Linked DNA regions of Callithrix jacchus. The protein of the gene in region 3 interacts with the protein of the main gene of each other region in a pairwise test. Links are inferred from orthologs where the notes say so. Each region holds a gene or a part of one and is shown on either strand. Other genes may lie near its edges. The genes, in order: KIFC3, SKIL and NEFL.

Region 1 (3,645 bases), on a different chromosome or scaffold from region 3:
CCGCCCTGACTCCTCCCAGGGGGCACAGGAGGTTGCAAAACAGATTCTGGAAAAGTCATAGAACTTTTTTAAAAGGAAAGGAAAAAAAAAGCCCATCAGGTAAAGGCAGCCTGGTGACTATAATCCTGGGGGAGACTCCCCCTCCCACCCTGCTACTCCCTCCAGACTCACCCGAGGGCTGCAGCTTCCTCCGGATGGAGCCAGGGCGGCTACTGGTCCCGGAGCTGGGGGCTGAGTGGGCCCGTGCCGAGGGCTGTGGTATCTGACTAGCCGGCTCCCACTGTGGACAGGGAAGGGAGGGTAGGTGGGGGCCACAGCTGCCCTGGCCCGCACCCCGCTGTGCTGCTCTCTCCTCCCCTGCCCTGCCTCCTAACCTCCGAACACTCAGCTTCCTCATCTGCAAAATGGGCAGGATGCTCGTGCCCCAGCCTCATGTTATGTCAAGAATTAAATGAGATAGTACATGTAAAGAAGTCAACTAGTTACCACTTAGCACCTAGTGCCACGCCCATGGCCAGCTGGTCACCCCACAGGAGCCCTGGAGGCCAAGAATAAATACCTGCACTGAAGAGGCTTCTGGCTGTGGGTTCCAGCTGTAGCTCCACCCACCTCCGGCAGCTTCACCCCGCCCCACCCTGCTGCTCTGGGATGTTTCCGCCCAGCTCCCTGCTCCTGCCATGATCCAAAGTCTCTGACCCAGGGCTACCTGAGCCAGGTCTCTGGCAGTCCCCGTACCTCTAGATGCTCCTGGCTTGACCAGGACCCAAGCTCTGCCCTGCGTAGCCCGGGCCCCAGCTCCACAGAGCGCACCCGCTCAGCAAACTTGAGGGAATAGAGTGTCTCACTGGTGTTCTTCTCCACTGGGGACACCTAGAGGACACAAGAGCTCACTGCCCACCTGGGCCAGCTGGAGGGGCAGCAGGGTCACAAGGGAGCTCACAGCTGGAGACGTCAGAAGGCCTCCTGGAGAGGACCGAGGGACAGGGTAGGAGGGCAGGCAAGGTGGCAGAGGTGGCGTGGTCAAAGGTGGAGAGGAGGGACTGGGAGTTACACCAGGTGTGTGTGGCCAGGTCTGGGGCAGGGGGGCTGTTGCTGACTCTGGAGCTGCTGAGACAAGGGTCCTTCACAGCCTGGGGTGCCTGGGTCTTGCTGCTAGCTAAGTACCTACACGCCAGGGACTGCTCCCTTCTAACCCAAGGCCCTCACCTGTACCACCATGAGGGTCTTGCTGTCACCACTAAGCGAATCCTGCAGCAGGTAAGTGAGCTTGGAGTTGCGGAAGGGCACATGGCCCTGGCGGGAGCGCAGGGCAGCAATGACGTCCCCCAGAGCTGACAGTGACTTGTTGATGTGCTGCGCCTCCCGCAGACGGCTGCCTTCGGCTCCGGACTTGCCCACACGCTCGGACCCAGCCAAGTCCACTAGGTTCAACTTCCCTGCAGGGAAGGCACCAAGCAGATCAGACCTGCCCTGTCCCTGGGGGCATGGGGCTCCTCAGGCCAGGCTGCCCGCCCCCTCACCCGTGGTACGGAGGCCTGTGCTGCAGTCCACGCCTCGCACCGTCACGATGAGCAGCGCGTGCGAGCGGGAGCTGTGCTCATTCAGGTTGGTGAACTCCGTTGTGCGGTTGGTGTGGCCAAACTCAAACACCTGGGGGATGGGGAGTGGGAGGGTGAGGCACGGCGCTGAGAATGTGGTCCTCAGTCACCTGGCCCCGAGCACCCCAGAGGAGTGACACCCCCACCCCCGCAGTTTAGACGAGGAAACAGGCTCAGAGGGGCATGGGCACTTGCCCGAGGGTGCATGCTTAGGACACAGCAGAGCCTACATTCAAATCCAGGTCTTCCCTCTAGAGCAGCGTGGCTGTGGCCAGGGGCCCGCTCCTCCACACCTTGTTGATGTCGTCCACGCTCTGCACCTGGAACTCAGTCAGCCCTGGCACATACAGCTGCCCACTGCCGTCTGGGCACAGCCGGATCTCCAGTTTTTCCTGAGGCTCTTTCCCCAGCAGGTCCCTGGAGGGGCAGGTGAGACAGTCACCCCCTCCTCCCATTTCTGGCTGCTGCTTGTACTGCACCCAGAGCCCCAGTCAGGAGTGTTCCCCCAACCTACAAAGCCTTCTTCAGCCATCAGCTAAGCGCATATCCTCCAGCTCCTCCCCCATAACTCAGCTGAACATGTGGAGACCTCACTGTTGCCCAGAAGGCCTGTGGATGGCGCTACTCCTGCCTCCGAAATGCAATGAGCCCCTGCGGGCAGGGCCTGCAGCTGCCCACTCCCACCCATGGCCACCTGCTGCAGCCCACAGGGAGGAGAGTCACAACTTGCAGCTAGGTCCCTTGGCAGCCTCATCTGGTCCCTGCACTCCCTTCAGGAAGACCCCACTTCCTATCTCCCGTTACTCCAGCACCACCCCACCTGAGGACCCCAAAGCTGCCCCTGAGGCCTACTCCCCTCACACTGGGGCTCCTACCTGAGGACCTCGTTGTAGATCTCGGCGGCGCTGACAGTGATGGTGTACTCCCAGTCGGATGCCTTCTCCTGCACCTCGGAGAAGAGCAGCTGCAGGGCCCGCTGGTTGATACCTGGGTTCTCTGGGGTCCCCTGGGGGCAGAAGGAAAGGCCCCAGTGAGCCAGGCCTGTCCCCAAAGATGCTTGTGTGGCATCTGTCCCCCAAGCCCTTTGGCTATCCCTCACAGGCAAGTCTCCTTGCCCAAACCTCCTACCTACAAGCCAGTGCCCCCCAAAATGCCCTCTGCCAGCTGCAGGCTATTGTGCCTCTATTTCCCCGACATTAAAATGGCATCACCCTGCCAGGACTGCCCTGAGACTTAGGGTACAGCGCTGGGGTGAGGGACCTGGCCAGACCACACAGACAGCTGAGGGACAGGTGCATGCCTGGCCCTGCAGGGCCACCTAGAAGGGGCACTAGAAATGAATGATCCCGCCTCTGCCCAGAAAGGGGCTGAGTCTCAGGGAGGCTGTGACCTGGGTTCTGTGGGTGATGGAAAGGAGGCACAGGTGGAGCAGGACAGGGTCCTGGGGCAGGAGGGGTGGGCTGGCCTTTCTAGAAGGAAACCTGGAGTCCCCACCTGGGCCCTCAAGGCCCTGGGAGTTGGACCCTCGCCCCTCCTCCGACAGCACCTCCCACCCTCTCTCTATTCCTGCCGCAGGGGCCTCCTGGCCAAGCCTCAGGTGCGGCTGGTGTGCTCTGGCCTCTTGGCCTTGGCCCTGCAGCTCCCTCTGCCCCAGGTGCTCCTGTTTGCCCCTCGGCCAGCTCAGTCATCTCCCTCAGGGAGGCTGCTCCCAAGATGCCCCCTCAGGGAGGCTGTTCCTTCGTCCAGCACCCCCAAACACCCCGTCCCTTCCCCTTGTCAGTTCCACATCCCTGGTTTTATTTTTCTCCATGGCCTGACGGGACACTCACTGATTTGTGTGGACCCTGCTGTCTCCCCATAGCCAGGTTGGTCCTGTGGGGCCAGGGACTGTTTGGGTCACAGCCATGCCTGGCACAGTGCCTGGTACACTTCAGGCCTCAGCAGATATGCTTGAGGACAGAAGCTCTGATGTTCCCAGGGGTCACCTCAACACTAAGCAACTCCAAAACAGACCTGGGAGCCCAGGGGGCGCTGCACACACCCCCTT
Region 2 (4,402 bases), on a different chromosome or scaffold from region 3:
GTTCCTTCTTTACTGTTGGCACCTTGTTTATCATTTTTCCATTTGCATGAATGTCTGTCATCATTTTTTTCTCTGGGGGGCTGCCATCATCTCCCATCCCATTCAGTTTTTTAGTTGAACCCTGAACCAAGGAGAAATTTGTCTGGAGGTTTTCCATTGCTACACTACTCTGTTAAACAATTAAGTCTGAGATTTGCATTTCTATTTAATTACTTATTTGAAAAGGGGAAAGTAATGAATATACAAATACTTATGATAACTTACTTTCACAAAAACTTTCTAAAGAGAGATCCCCTTAAATTACTCAATACTTAGTTTTGGTTCTCCTTATAATCTGGCATAATTCCACTACAAAGCCTATGAAATTGTTCGTTTTGCCTCCAATAATAAAGAATAGAAGCACACCTCTGAGAATGCTTTGTTTTCTTGAATTCTTCAGAAATACGTATCAAAATAAAGTTACCAATTTCTCAATTCAAGATGTCCAGGATCAACGCAATGGTTTGGTTTCCTTTGTTATAAACAAACACATGAAAAGTTTCTGTCATTCCTTGGGCCATAAAATCTAGACTCAAACACAAGTCAAAATGATGCAACCCAATTTAATCTTTACCACTAAGGAAACCAAAAAGGAGGGCAGAGGGAGTATTTCCTCTAAAAACGATGGTCTGCTGGTGTCCGTGCTGAAAAACTGAAGACGTGTAAATCCTCACACCAGGAAAAACAGCCTCTGCCTTCTTGAACTTCTACAATCAACAATGATACTTAACAAAAAATTGCCCAATTATCTTCAAAGATTACAGTTCATTCTTCTTTTAATTAATCTGCAAGAGAAGGGGGTGGGGAATAGTTACATTTGAATTTGCTCCAGAGGCCAAAGAAAACCAGTTTCCTTTCTTTCCTTCTTAAGAGTCTCGCTCTGTTGCCCAGGCTGGAGTACAATGGCACAACCTCCGCTCACTGCAACCTCCGCCTCCCGGGTTCAAGCAATTCTCCTGTCTCAGCCTCCCGAGTAGCTAGGACTGCCGACGCACGCCACAACGCGCAGCTAATTTTTTTGTATTTTTAGTAGAGACAGGGTTTCATCATATTGGTCAGGCTGGTCTCGAACTCCTGGCCTCAAGCGATCCACCTGCCTCAGCCTCCCAAAGTGCTGGGATTACAGGCGTGAGCCACCGCACCAGGCCGAAACCAGTTTCTTAATATTAAACTGAGTTCACTTTACCAAAGGTGACGCTTGAGTGATTTCTTTAAATCTAACACCAGTTTATTAGAACATTCACTTAAATAGGAAAGCAATTTGGAGTTGGGTAAAGGGAGCAATAATGTAACACAAAAGGCCATTTGAGTTCAGAATATGAAGAATCTTAAACAGATCATCTCCATCAGTACCAGAGGCTTTTTCAGTTATGTATGCCATTTTAAGGGGGAAAAAATACATTACTTCATCTCCTATTTAAAAAAAAACAGTTTCATCCAAAAAAAATCAAATAGGAGTTAACATATATCTACCATATGTAACTAAGTTACAATTTTAAGTGGATTAATTCAGCTGGTCCGTGTATACCATTTTTCTGGAATGACTGTAGGCAAAAATTAACTGTCTCTTTTAAAAGGTTAGCGATTTTACTTAATGGAAGCCAAAAGCTTATAGACTCCATGCCTGGGAATCTCCATCCTTGAACAAGACTAATCCGGGACAAAAAGCACAAGGCAGACAAACCTCACAAAGAATGCAAATGGAGGAAGAGGGGGAAAAGAAAAGACTCTTCTTCCACTTCCTTCGTGAGAGAAACCCCAAAAGAAATCCAATAAATAGAAATTTTTGCTTCCCTAACTGTCAGCAATTTACCATAAAACAGACCCAAAGGAGTAAGGACCAATGCTACCAGCCATCGTACGGACTTTTGTCCACCACAGGAACACATCTCACTTAACACAGGCCAAGGAAGAGGGCAAGAGGCATGACCTAGAATGGGGGAGCCCCCAAAACCCTGAAGTCCTCCGCCCACTCAAAGCCACTCACCTATCTCTAACCCGAAGAGGAGGAAGAACAAGGGACACGGGAAGCCTGGGAGTGGGTGTGCAAGGGGGTGGAGGAAAGTAAAGGGAGGAGTCCCCCCACCCCCATCAGCGAGCCTGGGATAACCTCAAGTGCCCTCCCAACACTGCCCCCCCGCGGGAGCCGCGGGAAGGACTGTGGAAATCCCCCCCACTCGCACCCTCTCCCCGGGAACTTCTCGGGTGTCACCCCAGCGCCCCTAATGCTGCACCTCCCCCGCCCTGCCAGCTCCGGGCCAGAACGAAGAGGGCACCGGGGCAGTTCAGTCGCCGAGCGAACATCCCCGCGCCGCCGGGGGCTGACGGGCAGGGTCGAGCCCAAGGCATCCCCGTGGAGCGCTGCTGGACGGTGGGAGGGGGGTGGTGACGGGCGTCCGGGTCTCCCGGGTCTCCCGGGTCCCCGCGGCTCCCGTCAAGTGCAGCGCCCAGCCCTGCCTGCGCCCACCGCCTGGAGCCAACGAGGCGTAATCCCTCGTGGGACACGCGCCTTGCGACTCCCTCTGGCTCCGACCCCACCCGGGACCCGCGCATCCAAAGCCCCTACTCGGGCCTCGGCGACTGGGGAAGCTCGACGAGCTTTGTGAACTCCCCACCGCCCCTGTCGCCGCCGTCGGGCTCCCCGGAGGCTGAGCGCCTCTGGCCTCCAGCCGCCTCCGCCGCGTCCCCCCCCCGCGCACCCACGAGCCGGAGCCGCACCTGTGCCCGCCGCCGCCGTCGCCGCTCGCCCTCTCCCTTCGGCTGTGCCGGCGCCGCTCCGAACCCCACACACATCGCTACACACAGCCCTCTGACGTCACCAGCCCTCGGCCCGCCCACGTCACTGCGGAGACACACGGCTTCCCGCAGACGCCGCCGCCGTCTCCGGCCGCCCGGGGGAGAGCGAGGGCGGCGGGGAGGGGGAGGGGAAGGGAACAGAGCCAGCGGCGGTGCCGCGCGCGCGGGCTCGCCGGCGTCGCCGGGGCCGCCACTTCGCGGCTCCCAGATCTCTCGGAAACGCGCGCGCCGTCTGGCCTATTGTGGCTCCTCAGAGCGCCCCCGACCCCTGGCCAGGTCGTCCCGCGCGCGCGTCCCTCCCCCAGGCGCGCGCGCCCGGCGCTCCTGGCCCCGCGCGCCGTCTGGGCGGCTGGCGCGCGGCGCTGTCTGCGGTGCACCCAGCGCAGACAGGATGTTCCCTCCCCACTCCACCCTCACCGCCGCCCTCCCTCCTTCCTTCCTCTAGTCGCCCAGCCGGCTGTCTGGGGCCTCCGCCCCGGCCCCGCCCCACCCGCCGCTCTGTGGTGAAGGGCCAGACCCTGGGGCGCCCTGGACGCTCGGCCGCCGCGCGGCGGGGAAGAGGGGGCAGGGCAGCCGCGCCGTGCACTGTGCGCGACCCCAGCAGCCCGCAGGGCGGAGGCAGTGCCCGCCCGGCAGAGCGCCGCCGCCCGAGGTCAGGCACGGGCGACCCTCCCCCCGCGGGGCCGCAGCTGGGCCGCCCCGCCCCGGAGGCAGCCGGGCGGCGACCGCCCTGCAGGGCCCCCGGGGCCGGCTCCACTCCCCGCCCCCGCGGGACCTCCCTCCTGGGCTGCCCCTCGCCCCCGCGGGGCCTCAGGCCCGAGGGCCGCCCAGCCAGCTGCCAGAGCTCCGCCCCGTCCCGGCGGCCCCAGCCTCGCCAGGGCGGCCTCCACCCAGACGCCTTCCCCTGGCTGACCTCCATCCGCCATCGGGTCGGGCGGGAGGGGTGGCCAAAGTTCCGGCACAACCGTGAGCAAACATTTCTGTCTCTGCTCCCCAGGCTCCTGCCCCCAGCCCACCAGGCTGCTCTCTCGGTTCCAGAGGGGAGCTATAAATTACAGGTTTCTACAGTGTTTACTGAGGGTTTTTTTTTTTTTTTTTTTAAAGAAGGGCAAGACGAGGTGGGAAAGATAGGACTTAAGAGCTTTCCGGCAGCGACCCTCTGCGGCTTGTAGGGTGGTCTTCCTGGTTCCCAGGGTTGCCGGTTAGCATATTGAACTCTGCAGAGCTGCTCCGTCACATTTCGAAACACCAAGAAATCCCCTTTTCTCCACCCCACCACAAGATCTGGAACCGAAATAGTCCACCGAGTAGCAGTGCACAAAATTGAGGAGACTCGGGCTTTGTCCCCTTTTTTCCCCCATTTTCGTCCAATTTCTTCTGGGTTTTACTGCTTCAGGTCGTTCCTATGGGGGCCCACGTTTGGAGTCGCTGGCTGGAAATACTCTTGTGCTCGTAGATTTTTTTTTTTTTCCTTTTTTTACAACAGGCCTCCCAAAGGCTCACAAGCCTCTCAAGCCCTACCGCTCCCCGCACCCCCACCCAAGTTCCCTTCCTTAGGCCCCCTCCA
Region 3 (3,274 bases):
TCAGGGGAGGCTTCCTTTAGGGAATGATGTTTAAGCCTAAATCTGAACGGTCAATAGGAACTGGCTGGGTAAGGTTGAGGGAAGCAGAGAAAAGATGAATACTACAGACAGAGGAATCACCAAAAATCCTGTGACAGATGGGAGAACAGAATACCAGGGTGGCTGGAGTACCTGAAGTGGAGGGAAAGGCTGTACAATGAAATAAGGTTAGAGAAGTAGATAGGGGTCAGCACTATGCAGGCCTTGAAGATCACATTTGAGATTTCGGTTTTCATACTAAAAGCAGGAAGCTATTAGAGGGTTTCATTCAGGGGGATGAGGGAGACCAAGAGGAGGCCCTGGGAGAAGGTTAGAGTGGTGGCGGTATAAATTGAAAGGATTGGAAGGATTTAAAATGTGGAGGCGTTATCACTATAACTTGGTGATAGGTTATTCTAGAGGGGCAGAGGAGAGGCAATGGGAGGTAGGCTGTCATTCAAGGTGTCTGTTTAATAGAATCAGATGATTAGGGAGAGGGGATCATTCACTAGGAGAGGAGATACTGAAAGAGAACCACAAATTTAGGGGGAGCAGAGGGAAAAGGGGCAATGACCACAGCACAAAATTTGGGGAAATGTTAAAAAAGACTTCAAATTCAATTTAGGTTTTCTGGTATTTTATTATGGCACACAGGGTAGAGAATGGTACAGTGTTCTTACTTCCACCAAGGAGTTCTCAGAGCATCCAGCGATTTTCATTTGGCTAAAGTTACTTTTTGCATGTAGCTTGCATCTGTTTGAGACTTGCCATGTACATCATCCCATGTCTACTAAGCATAAATGTGAAAAGCTTGGTTTCTGAGGAGTTGTCTCCCCTTCACAGGAGCCAATACATTGAGAGTTTTCATAATTCCAGTCCATACCATCATGGCAAAGAAACAGCTTACCTATTTCCATAGTGACATATATTTAACTAGATATAGTTGGTACAAAGGGATTAAGTAACTTTAAATGGAGACCACTTTGGTTTCAGTTTAAATCCATAACTTATAAAGATTGTCTAAAAAACAAATATTGAATGAAATTAGCTGACAAAGCAATTGTTTCAGAATAAAGGCAGAACAGCAGATAGTCAATAATATCTATATATTTATTCCACATCAAATGCAAGTGCAAGAGCGTTCATAACTTTTCGATAAACAGAGAGGACATATGAGGTGTGTATCTGATAATATGTCCAACCAGTCAAGCTATCAGTGAAATCCAAATATCTTCCAAGACACATGCAGAGCAATGTCAATGTAACATACAAGCATATTACCTCCCCCCTTAAGTGATTCATAATTTCATTACCTGTATCTGTAGTTTTTTAAGGTTTGAAATTGTGTGAGATTAAATGCTATTTACTTGAGGCAACAGAATTACGCTTAACAACACACTAAATCATGAGCTCAGAATTGCAGGCAATATGTTTGCAGTGGAGTGACAAATAACCTTTGATAGTCCCTTCTCCTGAAATTATATATAGATAAGTCATTCCTTCTGATGGTACCACGTTCTCAGGTTTTAACCTCTGCCCATGATATTTAGACTATATTTTAAAATACAGTTACAGGGATGAATATATGGGATTCATATTCTAACCATATTGCATTATGACATAACAGTTTGAAATGACCTATTTATTGTGGTTCCATGGTATAATGGCTAGCACTCTGGACTCTGAAATGACCTATTTACCATAACGAGTATATCTGTCAAATATTTTCAGAATCGCTCCCTAGAAAGCCATCCCAAAACCTAACACAGTATATGCTATGGGGCAAAGTCTATTGTTTTTATAGACATTCTCATTTACTCATGTTTATTATCAGTAACATTTTTGAGGGGAGAGATTTCATGAATAGTTATGACCTAACTGTATCCCTCGGAATTTCCAATGAGGGAACAAAAAGAAAAGTCTTGGTAATTGTTAAAACTTGGAGTTCTTATGGAGGTCAATAGTCCACTGGTATATACTTTACACCAGTGCCAACTTTAAGGTATTTTGATTAACAACCAGAGCAAAAAATACATCATTAGGTATAACTTTATTTACTATTTATTGCACATAACTCAAGGTCTTGAACTGCTAACCACCAAAGGTTCAAAGGACTATTTTTCCATGAAGTTTAACATTAACATTAGTGAATTCATTTACTCATGTGGTGTTTTTTATTGTAAACATCTGAATCATTCACATTGCCATAGTTCCTGAACTCATAAGCGTGGACCATGCACAGGCTGGCAGCAAGCCAGAAAGCCACTCTGCAAGCAAACAGATACTCTGCATAAAGAGGAAATTCAGAGCACAACATTGAATGTCCAACCTAAGTCATCTCAGAATTATACATATATTGACTTTTTAATTCACACAGGATCTGGAACTCAACTGGTTGGTCGGTTGGTGATGGGGTTGACCTGATTTCGGGAGAATTGTTCCTGACATAATTAAGGAAATGGGGGTTCAATCTTTCTTCTTAGTTGCTTGCTCCTCCCCAGCACCTTCAACTTTCTTCTCCTCCTCTTCAGCTTCTTTGGTTTCCTCTCCTTCTTCAACTTCACCTCCTTCTTCTTCCTTTGCTTCTTCAGACTCCTCCTTGGCAGCTTGAACATAAAAAGAAAGTGTACAAAATCCAAATCCAAGGTAAGGCCAGTCAAAACATGGCTGTTAAGGTTTTATCTGTGAATGCAGATGAAACCGTCAGAGTGCTCACCACAACCTCCCAGCTCCATTCTCTCCAAAAGCACATGTAACAAACAACGCTTGCCATGAATAATTTGCCACTGAACACATATTTAAATGGAATGAGACCACTTCTAGGCATGGAAAGCTCTGCTCCTCCCAAAGATTTAACCTCACTATTTTTTTTAGGTGTCTGGTATCTATTTTTATTCCTTAGGACACCGACCTGTTATGTTAAATGAATGTATTTAAAAATGAAATTTTTGACCAATTGACCAATGAGGTCCATTTTGACCTCATTCAGAGTAGGTGCTTAGAAAAGGTTTGTTGAACAAGCAGAAAAATTATTTATGCTTCTAAAATCATATATGAATAAATAAGCAAGGCTTCATTTGTCTTATCCACCACCTAACAAATATCCACACCCAGTTTGCACTTGAAGTTGCAGGGGTTTGTTTCTTATCATACCTTCTTCCTCTTCGGCTGCCTCCTCTTCCTCAGCCTCCTCCTTGTCCTTCTCCTCCTCCTCGGCTTCTCCTTCAGAGGGAGGCTCATCCTTGGCTTCCTCAGC

Evidence for each region.
Region 1: the proteins of NEFL (region 3) and KIFC3 interact in binary tests that used the Homo sapiens proteins (3 or more experiments, as listed by UniProt). The two-hybrid records come from large-scale screens. The link is inferred for Callithrix jacchus from reciprocal best matches to the Homo sapiens genes NEFL and KIFC3.
Region 2: the proteins of NEFL (region 3) and SKIL interact in binary tests that used the Homo sapiens proteins (3 or more experiments, as listed by UniProt). The link is inferred for Callithrix jacchus from reciprocal best matches to the Homo sapiens genes NEFL and SKIL.

What each region holds. Positions count from the first base shown.
Region 1 is NC_133521.1:15,646,567-15,650,211, forward strand, and holds part of KIFC3 (kinesin-like protein KIFC3), read right to left. Parts: intron 2,605-3,645; coding exon 2,474-2,604; intron 2,016-2,473; coding exon 1,892-2,015; intron 1,651-1,891; coding exon 1,521-1,650; intron 1,437-1,520; coding exon 1,207-1,436; intron 871-1,206; coding exon 736-870; intron 281-735; coding exon 172-280; coding exon of another isoform or gene 56-171; exon of another isoform or gene 1-55. UniProt on the Homo sapiens protein: Minus-end microtubule-dependent motor protein. Involved in apically targeted transport. Required for zonula adherens maintenance.
Region 2 is NC_133518.1:16,692,201-16,696,602, forward strand, and holds the start of SKIL (ski-like protein), read right to left. Parts: upstream 2,851-4,402; 5' UTR 2,758-2,850; intron 825-2,757; 5' UTR 158-824; coding exon 1-157. UniProt on the Homo sapiens protein: May have regulatory role in cell division or differentiation in response to extracellular signals.
Region 3 is NC_133514.1:16,534,014-16,537,287, reverse strand, and holds the end of NEFL (neurofilament light polypeptide), read right to left. Parts: coding exon 3,172-3,274; intron 2,625-3,171; coding exon 2,485-2,624; 3' UTR 639-2,484; downstream 1-638. UniProt on the Homo sapiens protein: Neurofilaments usually contain three intermediate filament proteins: NEFL, NEFM, and NEFH which are involved in the maintenance of neuronal caliber.